Linked DNA regions of Drosophila melanogaster. The protein of the gene in region 2 interacts with the protein of the main gene of each other region in a pairwise test. Each region holds a gene or a part of one and is shown on either strand. Other genes may lie near its edges. The genes, in order: CG3713, CG9083, Hip1 and CG13084.

Region 1 (3,534 bases), on a different chromosome or scaffold from region 2:
ACACAAGTTTTACAAATGTGGCACGCAGTCGCAACAAGAACGGAAACGGAAAATGTTATTTCGCAGCCACGAATGCAATTCCAGCAAACAAATGGCTCACAATGGGTGAAGTAAACCCCCGAAGCCACTACTGCCAAAGGAGGTGACTTTGCCCATTAGTCGGTTTAGGTGTCGTTTGCCGCTCTGCTGAAAGTTTCCAGCGAATGTCGCACTAAAAGTTGTCTTTCTCGCGATTGCGATACAGATGTGAATATATAGGAGGTCTTAAAGGGTGGGTGGACAATGCTGCAAGGAGCATGGAAGCAGATCTTGATGGGCTGCAGTAGCTGTGTCTTATCCGACTCGGAATTGCTTTGGAAGAAACGAGTTCACACTGACTGTATGCTACGACCGGAAGAAGAGCCCAATTGATAGGTCAACAATGAAACAGTGCAACTGCAAACTTGCTTTAGAAACGTATTACTCTGTGGTCTGCGCGTCGTATACGTAATGCGACCTACCGCCCCACAAAACGAAATAAAACATTTTAACAGTTTACAAACAATATTTTCATATTTATACTCATTTCCATCAGTACTCGTAGAGTAAATAAGTCAATAACAAACTTTAATACAGACTATAAGGTATCCGATAGTTGGCACACGACTACGAGTAGTTTCTATTGTTTGGAAAACTGTGCCTGGTTCTTTGGTGCTCCCAATCGAATCCAAACATTTACCATATGTGCGTGCATATACATTTTTAAACTTTTGCACACATAACATGATACACTCAAGTAATCCTATCCCATTTGAAGCTAACGTACACAGCCTTTGTCAGATTCGTTTAACCCTCTCCTGTCCATCGATGACCTGTAGATTGGTTAGGTTATTACGCCCATTTTTATTGGCTTTCAATTCGGATGCCAGTTGTCTCCTCATTTGGTTTGTGTTTTGATTGCAAAAAGTTAATTAAAATTTTGTTGTAATTGAATTTTATTGCATTGTTTGTTTGCATTTTGTTTTGTTCAGTTTTTTTTTTTTTGCTTTGTGCGGAGCTTTGTTTGAGTTTGTCGAGTTTTTCTATTTTTTGCCGTCTGTTTTGTTGTCTGGCCATTATGCCATTTGTTGTCATTTGGTTTTTGCCTTTGGTCTTAATTGGATTATGGCAAAAAGAGTTTTAATTAAACCAAATGAAGCGGAGTGCGGAATGCCAGTGAGTGGCAAGCTTTTTTTGAATCAGATGATGGTTTCCGGCAGCCTGGGATCATCATAACCATCGACGAAGCCTTCGAAGCTATCATCGCACTCCTGGTCGGCAGCCAATGGATTGCGGATGAGTTCAAAGGTCAGTGGCGGCAGCGGCGGCAGTTCGACCTTTACCACTTTCGGCGCTGCTTCTTCATTCGCGGAAGTCGATGGGAATTCCATCATACAGTCGTCCCCGCAGCGTCGGCAGTACAGCAGATCCACCAAGAAGCCCAGAAACATCCCCACCTCTGATTATGCGGTGCTCGCCCGACAGCTGATTTCGCAGCACTGACGATATCGGAGGCCCACCTACTACTATACTACCCTACTACTTCTACAGCCCCAGGCATCCACGCGTTCACAAATCCGCGCTCCAAGCCCCACGCCCCACAATCCACAGCACAGCTGCGTCCACAGCAGAATTCGAAAATGGATGGATTACAGACTCGCTCGTTTTCCGGTAAATCCATCGTCATCGGTGTAAAAAGCAAATGACAAAATTAATTAAAATTAAAATTAAATGTCGCTTGTTTGGCGTTGATTAAGGAGTGCGATCATGCATTATGCATAGCACATTATATCGTATTCACTGCATCGGCATTACGTAATCCACTGTCCACACACACACGCGCGCGCATTTATGCACTTATGCATTTATGTTTGTTGCTGTATAGAATGCACATTATAATTACATTTATGCGCGGCCATCAAATTCAATGGGACTAAAGCATTTGCATAGCGTCTGCACGCCCTGTTTACTCATTAAAGTCGAATTGCGAGGTGGCTTCCGTTCCACAAAAACAAAAAAAAAAAACACTTTTGAGCCCTCTGCAGGGAATACTACTATTTAATACCAAGCATTATTTAGACCAACATAATTGGGGATTTAACGTGAATAAAGTTTCGATTCTACATGGTGCTGTTACTACCCTGATCAGTTCAATGCATTTCTGCTCTGTCCTACTCACTCACTCGCTGTCTGCTGCAACGAAAAATTCAATTTGGCCAGAAAGAAGAGCTTAAAAAAAATGAATAAGAGTGAGAAATTTGCAATCTTTTAATCACACTTACTCACTAGCTCTGTCCCTCTCCTCCCTGGCTCTCTGCGCCTCTCTCCATCCCGCTCTGTGATTTTAATTATGCTTAACAAGCTGAGAAAGAAGCAGCAGCTGCGGCTGAGGAAAATAAATGAAGGCCATTGCTTGCCATCCGCAGGTCCTTTGAGGACTCCCGCTCCACATTTCACACTTTATGGTCCCCATTTGTTAATATTAAGTTGGTTGCTTTATTAAAGGTATTATGATGTCGGAATGTGACTAATTAAACGCACTCGGTCCATTTTTCCATTTTTTTCTTATGCTGATCTTACCCTAGATCTATGCTGCCCTTTGGGCATTGTTTGTTTATATGTTGGATTTTGCTATAGCTCTTCCTATTCTGCCGTCATTCGCCTTTCGAACTTTTTATTGTGTCAGTTAAGAAATATAACGCGGAAAATGCAAATTGGTCACAAATAGCTTATTTATGCGAAAAAGCCTAGAGCGCAAGCAAAAGACAGAAAGTAGGCCAATCATGCCACAGTCAAATTCATGTCAACCGCATGAAGGCCAGGCCCATACGCACCGACATCCTCTCCACACCACTCTCCTTTTTTTTTTTTGGGCTTTGGGTCAAGTGGAAAGAAGAACAAGCACGACAAGAATAACCACAACATGAAAAACTAGGTTAACATGGGTTAAGGTGTGTCATTAACTTGCCACAAACACACATGGGAGGCCTGGGCCGGCATTGAGTTTGCCCCACGGCACTGCACTGCGCGTTTCCCCTCTCCCATTCACCATTCACCATTCCCATTCCCGCAATTTCCATTTTCTCTTTAACCTATCCCCCACATGCATGCAGTGAGAAAAATCAGGTCCAGCAAGGACTACATGTTTTTGTTACTCTGCGTATGCTTAATGTCTTAGCAAAAGGCCCATTTTCCAACAGAGAACGCTGGAGTCGAGTTCCCCGACTATCAGATACCCATTACTCCACCTTAAACCCAAATGGGAGTACAAGCAGCACAGCGCCTATTTCCACAGTTTCACGCGAAAGTAATAATAATACAATTTTGAGCTTCCTTTGCAAGTGTTTTGCCTGCGGAGCCATTAGAGGGGCGTTTTACCACTGCTGCCGACGACTTCTCATTACGTCTAATGTGCCAAGGGCGACTGCTGCACCTGCGCCGGCACTTGCAGCATCCCCGCCTGGCTGAACTAATTAGCAGCTAGGCAAAGTCGAAGGCAGCTCAGCTTAGAGCGGC
Region 2 (3,469 bases):
TGGATGGGACTTTCCCGAGGACTACCCTTCACGCTTGTGCAGGTGTTTCCGCTGGTAGGGGCAAACTTTCTCTTCTACAAGTACCTCAACGCGGCTGTCTTGATGGCCAAGCCTCCCGACCAGCGCCAGGAAATCCACGGCGCATTTCTGTTTCTCAATGGGGCGCTGTCAGGGGTGTTGGCCAAGATGATCGTGTACCCGGCGGACCTGCTTAAAAAGCGCATCCAGCTGATGGCCTTCAAACAGGAACGTAAGACCTTTGGTCGCAACCCCGAGTGCCCTACGATCCTGGGCTGCATCACCACCACGTTTCGGGAGGAAGGAATCGGAGGCTTCTATAAGGGAATGTTGCCTACTCTACTCAAGGCAGGACTGATGAGTGCCGTGTACTTCTCCATCTATGACATGTTTAAGCGCCACTATATAGCTCCGATGAAAGAGGCGGAGAAAAATCGGCAAAAACTGGGCAAGCATTAGGTAAATCACATACTGGGCGGCTGGCTTAAATTATTACACTAACATGGTTTATTTTGTACACCAGTATCTTGGGAGAATGTGTGGAATATGGATGAGCGAACATGTCAAATATAAGTTAAACGTGAACAGTAGACTAGACGACCAGATGGCCAACGACGGACATTGCCGTCTACTTCCAGTTTGAACTGGATCCTGCCCAGCCGCCTGAGGCCGGCGCTGAGTAGCTGTATCCGTCGCCACCGCCGCCGGAAGACCCGCCGTAGGAGCCACCGCTGCCTGAAGCAGCGGCTGCAGCCACCACTTGTGTATCATAGCTGGATCCGCCGCCACTGCTATAGCCACCGCCATGTCCACTGCTGTATCCTCCAGAGCTGTAGGACGAGCCGCTGCTGTAGGAGGAGGCTCCGCTGTAAGAGGATCCACCAGAATATCCACCATCGTAGCCCCCGGAGGAGCCACCACTGTATCCACCGGAGGATCCGCCGCCGTATCCGCCGGAAGAGCCATGTGAATCTCCAGCCGCAGCAGCAGCCACAATCACCTGGGTGTCATGACCTCCTCCGCTGTGACCGCCACCGCTGTAGCCGCCGTATCCTCCGCTGCCACCATGATCAGAGGAGTCTGAGCTGGCGGCGATGGCTGCAATGTTGGCGATGGCATGGCCACCATAACCTCCGCCGTGTCCGCCGCTGCCTCCATGTCCGCCATGTCCGTGATCGGAGGACGAGCCAGCAGCAGCAGCGATGGCAGCAATCTTGGCATCATCATGACCGGAACTATATCCGCCGGAGCTGTATCCGTGGCCACCTCCACCGCCTCCGCCACCCCCGGAACTGTATCCGTGGTTCTCGGTGATAACAGCATAGGTGTTCACATGACCACCGCCTCCTCCACCGCCGCTGTATCCGCCATCGTGGGAGTGAATCTCATAGCCTCCACCTCCATGGCCGCCAAAATCACCGCCTCCGTGGCCGCCAAAATCACCGCCTCCGTGGCCGCCGTGATCCCCACCGCTCTCTGGCAGGTGAATACGGATGTGGACATGCTCTCGTCCGAAGGTGGGCTTTCCCCATACCGCTGGGCTAGCCAGCAGAAGCGCACTGATCTGGGAGTGGGAGGAGGGAATCTGTGTTAGGATCCACCTGAACTGACGTGGTGTCGTGCCAAACTCACTATGAAACGGGCTGCCATTTCTCTGGATTCGTTACGAAGGACTCTCGAATGATTGCTCGCCTCTGGACCGACTGGAAATGATTCGGCAAACATGGGCACACGCCGTTTTATAGCCCTCTTCTCCACTCGGGAGCCATGCGGTTATATAAGCGATCGCTTGCCGCTGAGCAAGTGCAGAGATAATCTCTTTCGCCGACGACGAGCTGAATGAAGTGGAGCCAGACCACTGGAGACTTCACGACCGCGACCCATTGAAGGCCAACTGGCCGCGTCTTCGTCTTCGTCTTCTTCTCGGCCATCCAGTCTTCACTCTCCCTTTCTGAAGATCGCGAGAGTGTTGACCTTTCACATCATCATCCCCAGCATGTGCCCAATTGCAATACCACACGGATAACGTAAAAAAGGGTCTGTGACTCAAAATTATTTTAAATCCCATGGTGTGATGCCAACTTAAGTGTATCAATCATCTTTGGTTTTCCATTTTCAATATTTTACATGATAAACAAAACCGGTTTCGTAGACCAATTTAAGATCGCTAAAAGATATCTTAAATTCCTTTTGCTATATTTACGTAAGAAAATCATATTTTACGAAAGCAGCTTGGATACTGCATAAAAATGTTTTTCTAAATCTAAGACTTTTATTTTGTAATTGTAATACACGGATTCTCCCAGTGCACTAACACACTCTCTCGAGGAGCATTCGCTTCTGTGCTCTACTTTCTTTCGAGAGAAAATCTGAGTGGCCCTAAGCTTCGTGGGCTGGCGGCCGAAAATAGCTAAAACCGAAACTCAAACTGTGGTAATATGCAACTTGACCAGTTCCAGTTTTGGCCCAGAGCTCGTTGCTATTGCTACTTTATCACATCGCCGATGCTGGTTGTTAACCGTTAGGTATTTTGTTGACGTTCATGTTTATGGATTTTTATGTAGATACGACGAACTTCCTATTGGCAATTCCTTATTGTTGGTCCAGACTTGCATAACGATTGGCCAAGGGTTGGCCGGGTTGGCTGCTGCCCGCTGGCTGCTCACTGTCGCTAGTCATTAACCCATTGATGGCCGTACCAGTGCCGGAAATTATCAATATAATTTTGTTTACCAACGCGAAGCAGTGGTGCCGCGGCTGTGAGGCAGGGAAGGAGCCAGTTACTGTTCTTTGGATTGGGCCAGGTCAGGTCGCCGTTTGGCGAGAGGCTCTCGAGCGCTATTGGGTTAAGCCTCGCCTGCAGCAACATCAAAAATATCTTGTCATGCCCCCGCGCTGCAACATGGGCAAAAGGCAACGCGCCGTGGGTTTTGTTCGCGCTTACATCAGCAAGATGTCCGACTGGCAGCGGAGAGAGGTCATGGCCACTGGCCACCCAACACCTCCAACTCACCCACCCACCAATCTGGACGCCCCAACAACCCCCGCCGCCATGCTTTCGCCGTTGATTAGCCACTGTTTTCATTAGCAGTGAGTGACTTGGGCCGAGCCAGCGAATCGGGGCCATCCGGCCATTTCGATTACGTCGCTGATTATCATTTCTCATCTGGCAGCTACGGAGCTAGGCAGCTGACTGCTCGCTCGGCAGATTCCATCACTGCCGAATAATTAATATACATTTAAACTGTTTCGGATTGTAAACAAAGCGGGCTTACATAAGGAACTAGCTGGGAGCAGCAAGCGGGACACCGACGCAATAATCTGTTGCCAATAAAGCCACATCGCCGGTCATAATCACGATGCTGTGCCGAATGAAGTTCGAACTGGAAGCCGCTGAGCTGGAGCAAATGGGCTGCACTCCAGTGCCATCAGAGCATCTTTCAATGGGGAT
Region 3 (7,617 bases), on a different chromosome or scaffold from region 2:
AACTGCCAGTGCCGTTCGTGAAACAAGCCGAGATAGTCACAGAAACGCTCCGGAAAGGAAAAGGCTACCCAGATGTGTGACTGGTGCTCCTGGTGGTCTTTTGCCATTGTATTCCAATCGCCAAAGCAAGGGGCAGCAATATCTGTACCTAATCAATCAAAAGAACTTTTCGGAGAAGATAATTTCATATGAACCCAATCTATGGAGCGACAAGGAGGCTAGATTGCGCTTGCTGGTTTCTACAGAATACGTACGAATCTTTTCACTAAGCGACGCCAATCCAACCATTATGTTTGAATGTCATGTTAGTGAGATTCTTTCGTGCCATCCAGTGGTAACGAATGCCGGCACAACGCCAACCACGAGCAGCAGGGCGTCGGCCAGTCACTACATCGAGATATCAACCAATCTTCCAAAGATTACCAGGCCCAGGATACGGTGTCGTTCCGAGGAATGTGCTGAGGCAGCATCAAGATGCGTAAGTAGAAATCATCTTAGCAGAAATTAGTAGAAATTATCTTTCAATAATAAACTATTATTGTTGAAGCGCAGACTTTGTTTATCATATAATTTATTTACTTTTACAAATTTTGAAATGATTATCACATATATTCCATACTTGTCTTTTTCTTTTAGATAAACTACGCTAAAAGTGTCTTTGATGAACGTGAACATGCCGTTTTATAAAATGCAATAGGTCGGTTCGTGATAATAAACAAAAACCTTTTGACAACAAATGTTACATTTTATTTTCTTTGGCAATAAGTGCTATTTTAATTTCAAGTAGTAAGTAAAATAAACATTTAAGAAATAATGAACCCACATACTATGGTGTGATATAAATCAAGGATCAAAAAGCGATCGACACGGAATACTATAAACAGATATTACGGATTCATTGTAGGATAAAATGACCGCAGTGTAAATATTGTGTAGATATATTATTTGTCATGACGGGCATTAATACAAAAAAGAATGTTTGTAAAGTTAGTAACATTAATAAATATGGTATTTAATAATCGGCATTCTTGTAATGCTCCTTACGAAACGATGAGAGTTTTAGTCGTTGCATTTGGAGAGCTTGTTCGATTTCGAGTACTTTAACATGAATTTCCATTTCCATCGTTTTAATCTGTGATGGCGTTAGCTTAGAAAGTTCTATTTCACTCTGCTGCTCCAGCTGGGAGTTGCAATCCTTCACGGTGGCGACCAGAGTTCCTGTTGCCTGCGTTACGCTTCGCGAGGCTTTTGTGAGGTCGGTTAGCTTTTGACTATTACGTTCAGCCTTGACTTTGCTCGCAATAACCATTTGGGTCGTGCAGGCAGCAATTTCTTGGGCAGCCACAATGAGTTCAAAGTTCTTGCCAGATTCACTTTCAATAGCCTTGTTTGCAGCTTCCACCAGATAGTTGGCTGCCTTCGCCACACTTTTCGAGGCGGATATCAAACCATCTGACCACTGACTGTTCCGCCTATAAAACTCATTAGCACTCGCATTTCCTGAAAGAGTAATTACTTGTCAGTAACTTCATTGAATTAAAAAATATTGTTAGCTACCTTTTTGGGAAGCCACGATTTCGTGTTGCAGGAGACGAGATTTTTGGATTAGAGCTTTGACACATTCCATCAAGGTGGTACACGCATCCACTATTTTTCCGTTTACCTCTAAATTGGTTTGGTTGTCCTTCTCTCGAGCCTTTGCCAGTAGATCTGTAATTTTGGAGGCTGCATCATCAATCGCAGCGTCCATCTCGCGAAGCTCGATTTCGAGCAGCTTATCTAAATCAATCTTCTGTTCAAATGATGCCTTTATTTTCTCAATCAGCTTTTCAATATCTCTCAGCTTTGTTTGTATATCAGTGATTGTTTTCTGTCTCTCGGGTTCTTTTGTTTCATTATTTAATAAGTATTGGAACAATTGACAGATATCGGTACATAACAAATTTGTTTTTGAGAAAATTTCTGCAAAATAAGTAATACAAAGTTAGTTTGCTGTAGGTGGTTATGTTTTTAGTGTTATCAACTTACCCTGACCTGTCTCAATTGCAGTTGTTGTTTTGTAGATAACATCACATTGATCGTATAGTTTTATAAATACATAACCCAGATACATAACATTTTGCAGTCCTTCGGTTGAAGCAACATAGTTTATAGCCGATGCGTTATTGAACTTATTTAAAATGGTCTCCATTTCGCGTATTATGTTTGGCACCGCATCCAAAGGCTGTTGTTCCGATCCGCTCAACTTCGAATTGCATATTTCCTTTACAGTCTTGATCACCAATTTTCTGAGTTCACTCAAATCGGTACTACAGATTTGGTACGAACTTGTCACGGCATCAATTTGCTGTGTTGCTTGGGTTAGTTTTACCTCAGTAAGCGAGAGTTTGCTTTGCAAATCCTCGTTACGCTGACCCGCTGAAGCATTTTCCTGCCTCAATTGATTCACAATTTCCTGGGTTTGCTGAAGAAAGAAAAGCAGTTTCTATAATTTTCTTGATTTAAATTGGTTTCATTTACCTGTAATGCACTCTCATTTTGCTCCAAGTTGTTTAAAGTTAGCTGCAATTGAGCATTTTGTGCTTCGCTGTTGTTTTTATGCTCTATACCTAACTGCTCTATTTTAGTTAATAGCACTGATTTTTCCGCTTCAAATGCCTTTAAATTGTTTTGAATTTCCAATGCCTTTAAGCTGATTTGGCTTTCTGCGCTGGACAGCTGAAGCTTAACTTCATTGAACTCTTTATCCTTTTGTTCCAAGTTATCCATTATTTCTTGCAATTGAGCGTTTTGAGCTTCACTATGGCTTTTACTTTCAACACTCTGTTGTTCAATCTGAGTTAAGAGCAATGCCTTTTCCGCTTCAAAAGCTTTTAGCATTTTCTCGATATCCTCGGTCTTTGCATTTATTTGGCTTTCGGCGTTCGACAGTTTTTCCAGGGTGTCATTGAGGTTTCCATTAAGCTCTTCGACTTTGAGGCAATTTAGCCTCAGGTTTTCGGAAGTGGAAATAATATCGAGTTCCTGAATTTCCTTTTGTTTAACCACATCATCGAATTTCTCCTTCATCTCGTTTTTGACTGCTTCAAGATGTGCTATTTTCTCCTTGTGCTCTTCGATTTGCTTTTGCAGAATCAAGTTTGTTTTCTCTTTTTCCTCTACGTTTACTTTAATTTTGGAAATTTCATTGGTAAGCTCCTTAGTTTCCAACAATAGTTGTGAGTTTACTTGTTTCTCTTTATTTAAGGACTTGTTGCAATCACTTTGCTGATATAAAAGTATATGAATGAATATTAGTATAGGAAATAGAAAATATTGTGTTTCTGCATACCTCTCTCAGCAGCTGAATGTGCTCATCTCGAATCTTTGTGTATAGAGTTTTAAGTTTATTAAACTTTTCCGACGACAACTTGTGCTTTTCTTCTTCCTCCATAGCTTTTTCTGAAATACAAGGTATTTTTATATGACTTCATTATGTTTAATAAGCATTTAATTACGTAAAAGAATTGGGTTCTGATTCAGTTGCATCTCAAGATCGTCATTTTGCATCCGAAAGGTGGCACACATTTCTCTCGCCAAGACCAGATCATTTGACAGCACAGTATTGTTCTGTTGCAACTCCTGAACGTCGTGTCTGTAGCTTTGCTGCAGTGCGTCGAAATTTTTTTGCATTGCGTCCAATTTGAATGACAGCTCCTCAATGCTAGCCTCTTTCTCGCTGATTATACCCTCCAACATGCTAAGCTGCTGCTGGGCTTGACTGAAGGCTTCCAGCTCGTGATTGTTGGTATCCACAAGGTCTTCAACAACCGGATCGGGCTCCTGGGGAACGTGAACCACTGGCGGTACATAACTGGTGAAATCGTTTTGGGACTTGAAGTTAGGACTTGAGTCCGGCAATTCCGGGATTGTTATTAGGTCCTTGAAATACTGAAGCGGTCGCACGTTGTTGTAAAAACTCTTCAACTTTAAAAACAGACCGTGAAAGCGATCTCTGTGTCCGGAAACAACGTCGTATGGTACACCATCGTGTAGTTTAAACATTAACCGAACGCTTAAATCGTACAACGCATTGGAATCCTGGATAAGGCAAACTATTGGCGCTAATCTACATTGTCCCTGCGGTGTCATCGACGACATTCTGTACTTTTCCATAGATGAAAATATCGTCAATTGCAGCGCAATTATATCCTCCAAGTAGTCGAAAATTTCCACGCACAGTTGAAAACTGGAATCAATGGTTCTGTCTCAGTAGTTTGAAAGTAATATATATCTATTTTTACTTACCAATAATTTAAATCCCTATCCACAGCAATGAAGAGTTCCGTGAACGAAATGTTCAGGGTGCCGGGAAACATTCGATTTTTGTCGTGGAAGTTTAATTTTGTGGCCAAGAGCTTACTATACGCCTGTATGCAGCATCCAATATCGTCCTGCAGCAGGCCCCACATTTTTCCCACCTCCAGTATCATCTTCTTGTGGCTCTGCGAGTGGCGGATGGCACTTTCATGACCCTCTCGCAGGACCTTGTGCAGCAGATGCGAAAACTTCCAGGCAGTAAATCTACTCTGCATCAAAGGCTGCCGGGAGATGATCATCCAGAATGTTTTGGCCTCTTTGGCCTTGTGTATCATAATAATAATGGAGCGGGCATGTTTGGTTTTGAGTGGCGCTTCCAGGCCATTTAAAGCTTTGGACACGCTGACGTTCTGAAATGAAATGTAAATATTATAGTTTAAATGGCTTTTTATTGTTGTACACTTTCGAAGAAGTGACTGACTCAGCTTATAAGATATGGACGGATTTTGGCGGACGATATCTATAGTTTTATACTTTTTAGTGGAATTCGATCTAAAGGGGGTGACTCACTGATCGACTATTTAGTTTGGAAGTGCAAACATTTCGATGCTTTTAAAAATAAGATTCCAAACACCTACACCATGTGTTTGATATGAATTTATGATAACAGAAGGTAATCTAAATACTGGATTTCACTTCTTATCGTGCCGAATTTGGGTTGATAATCAAAAAATTTGAAAGGCCTTTGTGTGCACATTGAACAATTGATCAAAGTGGATGTAGTCCGCATAGCATTCATTGCAGTTTCTAATTTTCTGGGTCATCCGAAGCGGAGAAACTTGGGATTAGCATGTAGTGTAGTCTCTGTGGTGTTGCAAGTCGTGTGAAAAGCTGATGATATTTCGAGCTGTTCCATATAATCTGGTTCAAGGCTGACTTCTTAAGTGAAATGTTTATGCATATTTGAGCGGCGCGCCTGTAGTTGTGTGCATAAACATTTAGGTATTTACACTATGCACATGATATGACAACATCCGTGTGCCTATAATCTGCTGTGGGTATTCTTGGCGGTTTTCTTGGCTTTCCTTTGGGCTTACGTACCAGGTGGTAGAACTCCTTTTCGGCGTGAGTTGCCATTGTTTACTGACAATTCTTGGCGTACTTGCTGAACAAATTCGAATCATTCGCAGCGCGATATATGTGCATTAGAGCAAAGACAGCAAAGACATTGGAAACGGGAGTTATCTTATCTTATCAACAATGTTGGCCATTGTTTTCGTATTGGTCGCGTTCGTATTCATTCGGATTCCGATCGTGTGCGTGTATGAAACAATGAGTGTAAGAGTAAATTAGTCATATAAACAAATGTTGTTTTCCTTTATCGATAAAAGTTAATAGAGCTGGGCGGTGTTCCGATATGCGGGCTTTACCCTATCGATTCGTTTCGATAGTCATCAACTTCTTGCATCACCATTTTGAGCGCGAAAAAAAATGTTTTGCAAATTTTTATTTTTTTCCATTAAATCGAAGGATATTTGAATTGAAATACACTTAAATGAACCAATATTTAAATTATAACATCGAACGCTTTCAATAAAACTTCAGTTAAGTTAAAAATTTAATTTAATTTGATTTTATACGATGGTTTAAAAAAAAGCTTTAGAATGTGTTTTTGAAATTTTTGTGTACTGATTTTCTAAAAAGATAGATTTTGTTCGATATTTATAGATCTGCTACCATATTTTTACTTTAAATAAAAGAACGACAATTTTAATTTGTTTTTAAAGTAATTTTAATTTAATGTATTCTTCCAACTGTTTGGATTAAATTTGGTATTCCGATTGATCATAGTAATCCAAATGTACATTTTGCTGTGGCCAAAACATCTCGGCTGGGTATTGGTTTTGTGGTGGAATGTAACGTCGATTGGGATCTGGAACGGATGTCATCATCAGTTGCGGATGATGATATTGATTGCTATAAGGACAAGCGTGGTGTCTGAAAGTAGGATGCTGTTCTCCGTGAACAAAATTTGGCTGCAGTGAAAATTCCGGTGGCTGGAAGTTGGAATCCATGCGTGTTATATTATACTTATTCACGGTGCGTTCATAGAATCCATCTGGAAGCATTCGAATGTTCTCTTTTAGTTGAGGATTGTAGTCAGGGTTTCTGGCCTGAGAGGAACTTGGGTCTGAAGTATGTACAGATTCCTGAAAATGATGATAGGATCCATGATCCGGCTGACATTGTTCCTTCATTTGAAATTGATGCTGCACGGCTGGTGCTGAAGCTGGTGACTTAGTGGGCATCCACTGATCCCGCGGATCTATAAGGTACCCTTCATCGAAAGGAGTGACATTTTGTGGAGCACTCACAGAGATCTGCGGTTGTAGCATATGATCCGGTGGCTTCGTAAATCCTTGATGGAGACTCGGAGGAAGACCCGTGTATTGATAAGGACACGAGTTACAGGGCGGTCGTCCACAGGTCTGGAGTAGAATTTCCCTGTTACAGGGAGTTCTTGTCTCTATAAGAACGGTGTTCCCATTGATATTTGCCTGGTTTCTGATCCCAGCACTTTCACAACTACGAAGTTTTCGAGGTTGCATTAGGGTTACCGTTTCCAGTGTTTCCACGTCAGTCGATGTATTGGGAGCTAGTAATTGGGAGTTCGGAGGTGGATCTGTCCAAGTTAAGTCAGTAGAATACCCAGAAGCTCCAACCATAGCTGAATTATGCGACCCGTCCTCGTTTTGATGACTATCGCGATGGCTTTGGTCACTATTATTTCTATCACAAGCTAGGTATTCATCTTGTCTGTGCTGGTCAGGATATTGGCTGCTGGCCGAAATGAATCTTCCGCCTTGCGAATTGTTTGAATCATTTCTTTGAATACGTCTAAGTACTGGGTAAGATGTTTGGGATGGGGCTTTTCGTCTATTTTCTGAGGATGGTGGATTGTTACTCAAAGAATCAGAAACGCCTGGATGATTCTGCAGATTCCTATTTCTCCTTTCAATAGATTGCTCTGCTGTATTCGTTCTAGTAGATGGCGAAGAAGCTAGAACAAATACACCGTTCATTTGGCCAACAGAAGAATTGCAGTTTCGATTCTTCGTCCTTTTTGTTTTCTGGGTTTGTAGTCGAACGTGTCTTGTAGTCGCTGGTGCCATTTGAAATTGATTGGTATTGAGTCTGGTGAAGTTTAGACCAAATTTCCTCCTGAAATATGTTTGGATTAAAAGTAAGAGATCATAATTGTCGGAAAAGAAGAACACTCACAATTGTTTTGGCTGGGAAATGCCCAATTCTTCAGTG
Region 4 (4,137 bases), on a different chromosome or scaffold from region 2:
CTTAAGCTAAGTGCCTTTACTTAACTTTAAATTAAACTGTACATTTTTTAATTAAAATTGTCCCATAAAATAATAATTAATGCTCTTAGGAGACACCGTCGTGATAATTTGATGGCCAGCTAAAGCCGCTTAAAATAATTTCAAAACACCAATTTGTGACTGCCCCATTTCAGGATTCACATTTAGCATCTTATCAGAGCTTAGCAGCTGGGGTCACCACCCGTCCAGCTACGGAATGTGATTACAGCTTTTGGCGCTCCGCCTGAAATTTCAGCGGTTTCAAGTGTCCATTTGGCGGCGCAATATTTAACTCCAAGTTTCGAACACCAGGACCATAGGTATAGCGATGCAGATGCTTTGAACGAGCCCTAAACTCTTCTTCTGATCCCGGAAAACTGATTATTTCGTGAACCAAGTGAGGTTCGGGAACATAGAAGTCATCGCCTAAGGTAAATGATTATTTAAAAAAAATGATTTGGATATTACACTGAATATTCCTTTAACATACCAGGTAAGACGAAAACCATAGAGCCCTGGCAGTTATAACCAATCGGCAAGAACATGGTCGTTCCCAATCCGCTGCGCTTGATGGCAAATTCCAACAGGGATTGATACGCCTTAATTCCCATCAACCGGGACAATTCGTAGACCTGTGGTGGCATGAACCAAACATTGCCCAAATCAGCCAGTCGCAGCAGTTCAACGGGTGTCAGCCACTATATACATAAATAACTCGTTTATTGTGAATTTGGGGTTTAAAAGATAAACCTTACCAGCGTTTCCTTGACCTCGGAAGGTTCTTCCAGCAATTCGGGCTGCTTGTCCACAAAAGCCATGAAGAAAACGGTTTCATGCCTATTAAGTGTAATATAATCTATATTAGAACCAAGAACTTTACCATACTTTTTTTAGATTACTAAGCAAAGAAATTAAGCTTTCATTTATGATTTTTTTGTGACCCCATACCCACCCTTTGCGTATGAATCCTGGACTCGCCCAGGCAGACCACTCATGCAGAGCCCACAAATCTGGAACTACATTTAGCTCGCGGCAGAGAGTTAGAAACTCAGCCGGCTTGTTGTGCACCCTTCGCTGCCACGACTCCAGGTCTGGAACAGCCTGAGCGCAAGTTACCGCACCAAAATCCAGTTGACTCCGACTCCGGCAAAGCAACAGACCCACCTCTTCAAAGCATTCCCTCACGGCGGTTAGTCGCAGCGTAATCTCCCTAAAAAGACAAAGGTCATAGATTAAACTCCCAATGTGACAGAGTTTAGCGCAACCTTTGGACTCACCGAGCCCAAATGCGGGAACGCTTAAAGAACCGATCGTAGCAGCCAGTGCCCTGGGGCGCCAGAATGGCAGGACGATCTTCGCGGATGAGAACCAGGCGGCGTAGTGCCTCTTGTGGAACACCAAACTCCTCGAGGTAGTGCAGCCAGGCGACGCTTTCATCGGCCCCAGAGTCCAAGAGGCCACCGGGAAATACAGTCTGATTGAGCGCAATCGCCGTGGCATCACTGCGTTTTAGCATAAGCACCTGAAAGGTCAGGATTATGGTTATCCGCTTTTGGAAATGGCCTCTTCACTTTCCTTGTAATCTTTGTTATTGCCATCATCTCTGGACACCAGGATTACACTGGCCGAGGTGCGCCACTTGGTAGGAGATGCAGGTTGGCTCATATCTGCTTTTATTTAGCCAAATGAGTAGCAAAACTGTTTAGTTCCATCCACAAAGAAAACGAAATCAAAAGGTTGTTTTGTTCCCTCCAATCAGCTGATTGGTCGATAGGCACGATAACGACTCCTGTGCAAAAAAAAATCGATCGATAGCCGCCTAATCAAAGCGCTGAATATTTGAAGTTTGAATTCGTGCGAAATTCAAACTTTACCTTTTTGGTCAGATTACCATGCAGAAGCGAGCACGAAGAGCAAAAAACCCAAATAGATTAGTTCCAATCCACACGTGTTCGCAAACATATTTAAGCTCTGCCCTTGGACAACAAAAGACACTTGCAATTGGTGTTTCCAGTCGAAAACAACTTGCAGTTGAAATGAAAGTACTGATCACGTTCTTCTTTCTGGGCGCCTGCCTCTGCGGCATCCAAGCGGATGAGAGCATCGCTGACCTCTTGAAGGACAATGCGAAGGGCGTACAGGCAGCCAATGTGCTCCTGACCCGGATTGCCCAAGTAAGCGAGCAGACTCAGGTCGGTTTGGCAGAGCAAAAGGAGGCACTGAAGGCCCTGACGCTCGTGGAGAAGCTGCTAGCCAAGTTGACTGTCGTTCTGGAGGTTGGCTCCCACAATCTGGTGGCCACCCTTGAGAACCTCTCTAGGCAGGGCGAGGAATACGGCAATCGAACGGAGTCAGAGCTCCTGGAATTGGTGCGTCTGCAGGAGGGCACCAAGGAGATACTCAATGTCCTGGAGGCCAAGCTGGATGCCTATCAGAGGCACGTGCTCCATAGTTCCCGCAACATTGACAACAGCATCGACGGACTGGCCAAACTTATTACTAGGACGGTGTTGCCACAATTGAATGGGCTAAAGTGTACCTTCGATAGCTTGGAGACGTCCCAAATCAACGTGGAGGTGGAGCTGAAGAACTTGGCCGGAGTCAAGGAGCTCAGCGAGAACTCCAACTTCAAGCTGAACGTGCTGGAGCATCAATTGAAGCAGCTGAATCGCACTCAGGAGCAGCGCTTGGACATCCTAATCGATGCAGTCAAGCATTTGCAGCCCCACAGTTCCTGGAAAGTGGAGGCTGTTCTCCGCGAACTGATCATCTCGCAGAAACGCATCGAACTGGGTCTGGAAGAGTGCAGCCGACAACAGCCCTATCCGCAATATGGCCATCACGACGAGTCCTATCTTCCCACCTACGGAGCTGAGGTCCCAGAGCCGCAGCATGCTCATCCTAAGCCCAAGCAAGTGGATCTGGAACAGGTGTGGAGCATCAAGGAGGAGCCCAAGCACGGTAAGTGGTCCTTATTGCCACCAGATTAGGATCACAAATTAATGGCTTGTCGTTCATAGGAGAGCACTCTGGAAACCACAAAGCTACCGCCTATGCCCAGTCCCCCGAGCCAAAGAAGAACTATCAGAGCTCCAGCGCCGTGTCCTGGCGGCAGACGGTGCCGTGGGAGTACGGATCCCCATACCAGTCCGCTCCAGTTCACCACCATCAGCCATGGAACCCAGCTCCGGCCCACGTTCCCACCTCCGTTACCAAGCCCAAGCCGTGCCCCAAGAAAGAGCACCCTACTCCGGCATCCTATGTTCCTTTGCCACATGACCAGCCTGAATCCTACAAGCTTCCTGTGGATTACAGTCCCAAACCTAACCACGAGCAACCTCATAAGCCCCACCACGAGCCACAGTCTTACAATGAGGAGATCTACAAGCCACAGCCCATCCAGCCAGGAGAATCCTTCAGGATTTGGTATGGAGACAGTTCCCTCCCCCAAGGATACTAAAGGAAGATTTAACTGGGACTACCACTGTTACTGAAACTGATACAACTTTTCAAAGCATTTAACAAACTCTTTTTTTTTAATTCAGATTCATTACTTTGTACAATTTTTATGTTTTATAAATAAATAAAAAAAAAGCAAAGGAAATACATTTTTGATTATATTCCTAGCAAGTAATTAATAAATAACTTTTGAGAAAAAATGCTATAGTTTCATGGAAATCATATGCATCAACTTTTAGCATCGTATGCGAAAATATACATTCAATTTCCAAAAACTTTTCTCAAAATCTATTCAAAATATACGAAGAAATTTTTGTTATTTTGTATGTTTTGTAGGTAAATAAATTCACCTTACTATTAACCTATGCTATTGTTTGTTGATAGAAGCAAATTTTAAAAATATTTTAAGCTTTTTTAAAAGTTAATAGTAAAGGATCCAAGTTTGTTTAAATTTGCAAAAGGCATCTTGGCCAATTTTTGAATAGGCATGATAATATGAAGGATAATTAATTATACTGCTGTTTTCGAAATAGGAAACAAAATATAGACTTATTAAACTTTTACAAAATTACTTTAGTTCGCTTTATTACTTTATTTCTTGTAAACGATAGACAGTATGCCCGAAAACATTTGTTACGTTATCATTACCTTCGAAGACCT

What was found.
Region 1: the proteins of CG9083 (region 2) and CG3713 interact in a two-hybrid assay, tested with the Drosophila melanogaster proteins (one large-scale study listed by BioGRID).
Region 3: the proteins of CG9083 (region 2) and Hip1 interact in a two-hybrid assay, tested with the Drosophila melanogaster proteins (one large-scale study listed by BioGRID).
Region 4: the proteins of CG9083 (region 2) and CG13084 interact in a two-hybrid assay, tested with the Drosophila melanogaster proteins (one large-scale study listed by BioGRID).

The regions. Positions count from the first base shown.
Region 1 is NC_004354.4:845,635-849,168, forward strand, and holds CG3713 (uncharacterized protein), read right to left. Parts: upstream 1,524-3,534; 5' UTR 1,470-1,523; coding exon 1,218-1,469; 3' UTR 537-1,217; downstream 1-536.
Region 2 is NT_033778.4:24,896,541-24,900,009, reverse strand, and holds CG9083 (uncharacterized protein), read right to left. Parts: upstream 1,738-3,469; 5' UTR 1,669-1,737; coding exon 1,651-1,668; exon of another isoform or gene 1,583-1,650; coding exon 647-1,582; 3' UTR 505-646; downstream 1-504. Other genes in the region: Tpc2 (thiamine pyrophosphate carrier protein 2), read left to right, coding at 1-477.
Region 3 is NT_037436.4:12,767,875-12,775,491, forward strand, and holds Hip1 (huntingtin interacting protein 1), read right to left. Parts: upstream 5,700-7,617; 5' UTR 5,437-5,699; coding exon 5,401-5,436; intron 5,346-5,400; exon of another isoform or gene 4,870-5,345; intron 4,710-4,869; coding exon 4,288-4,709; intron 4,229-4,287; coding exon 3,498-4,228; intron 3,442-3,497; coding exon 3,332-3,441; intron 3,268-3,331; coding exon 2,521-3,267; intron 2,465-2,520; coding exon 2,029-2,464; intron 1,963-2,028; coding exon 1,558-1,962; intron 1,501-1,557; coding exon 1,013-1,500; 3' UTR 688-1,012; coding exon of another isoform or gene 637-687; 3' UTR 558-636; downstream 1-557. Other genes in the region: Vps13D (vacuolar protein sorting 13D), read left to right, coding at 1-478, 637-687; CG32106 (uncharacterized protein), read right to left, coding at 6,123-7,521, 7,582-7,617.
Region 4 is NT_033779.5:19,482,919-19,487,055, forward strand, and holds CG13084 (uncharacterized protein), read left to right. Parts: upstream 1-2,011; 5' UTR 2,012-2,054; coding exon 2,055-2,979; intron 2,980-3,038; coding exon 3,039-3,478; 3' UTR 3,479-3,614; downstream 3,615-4,137.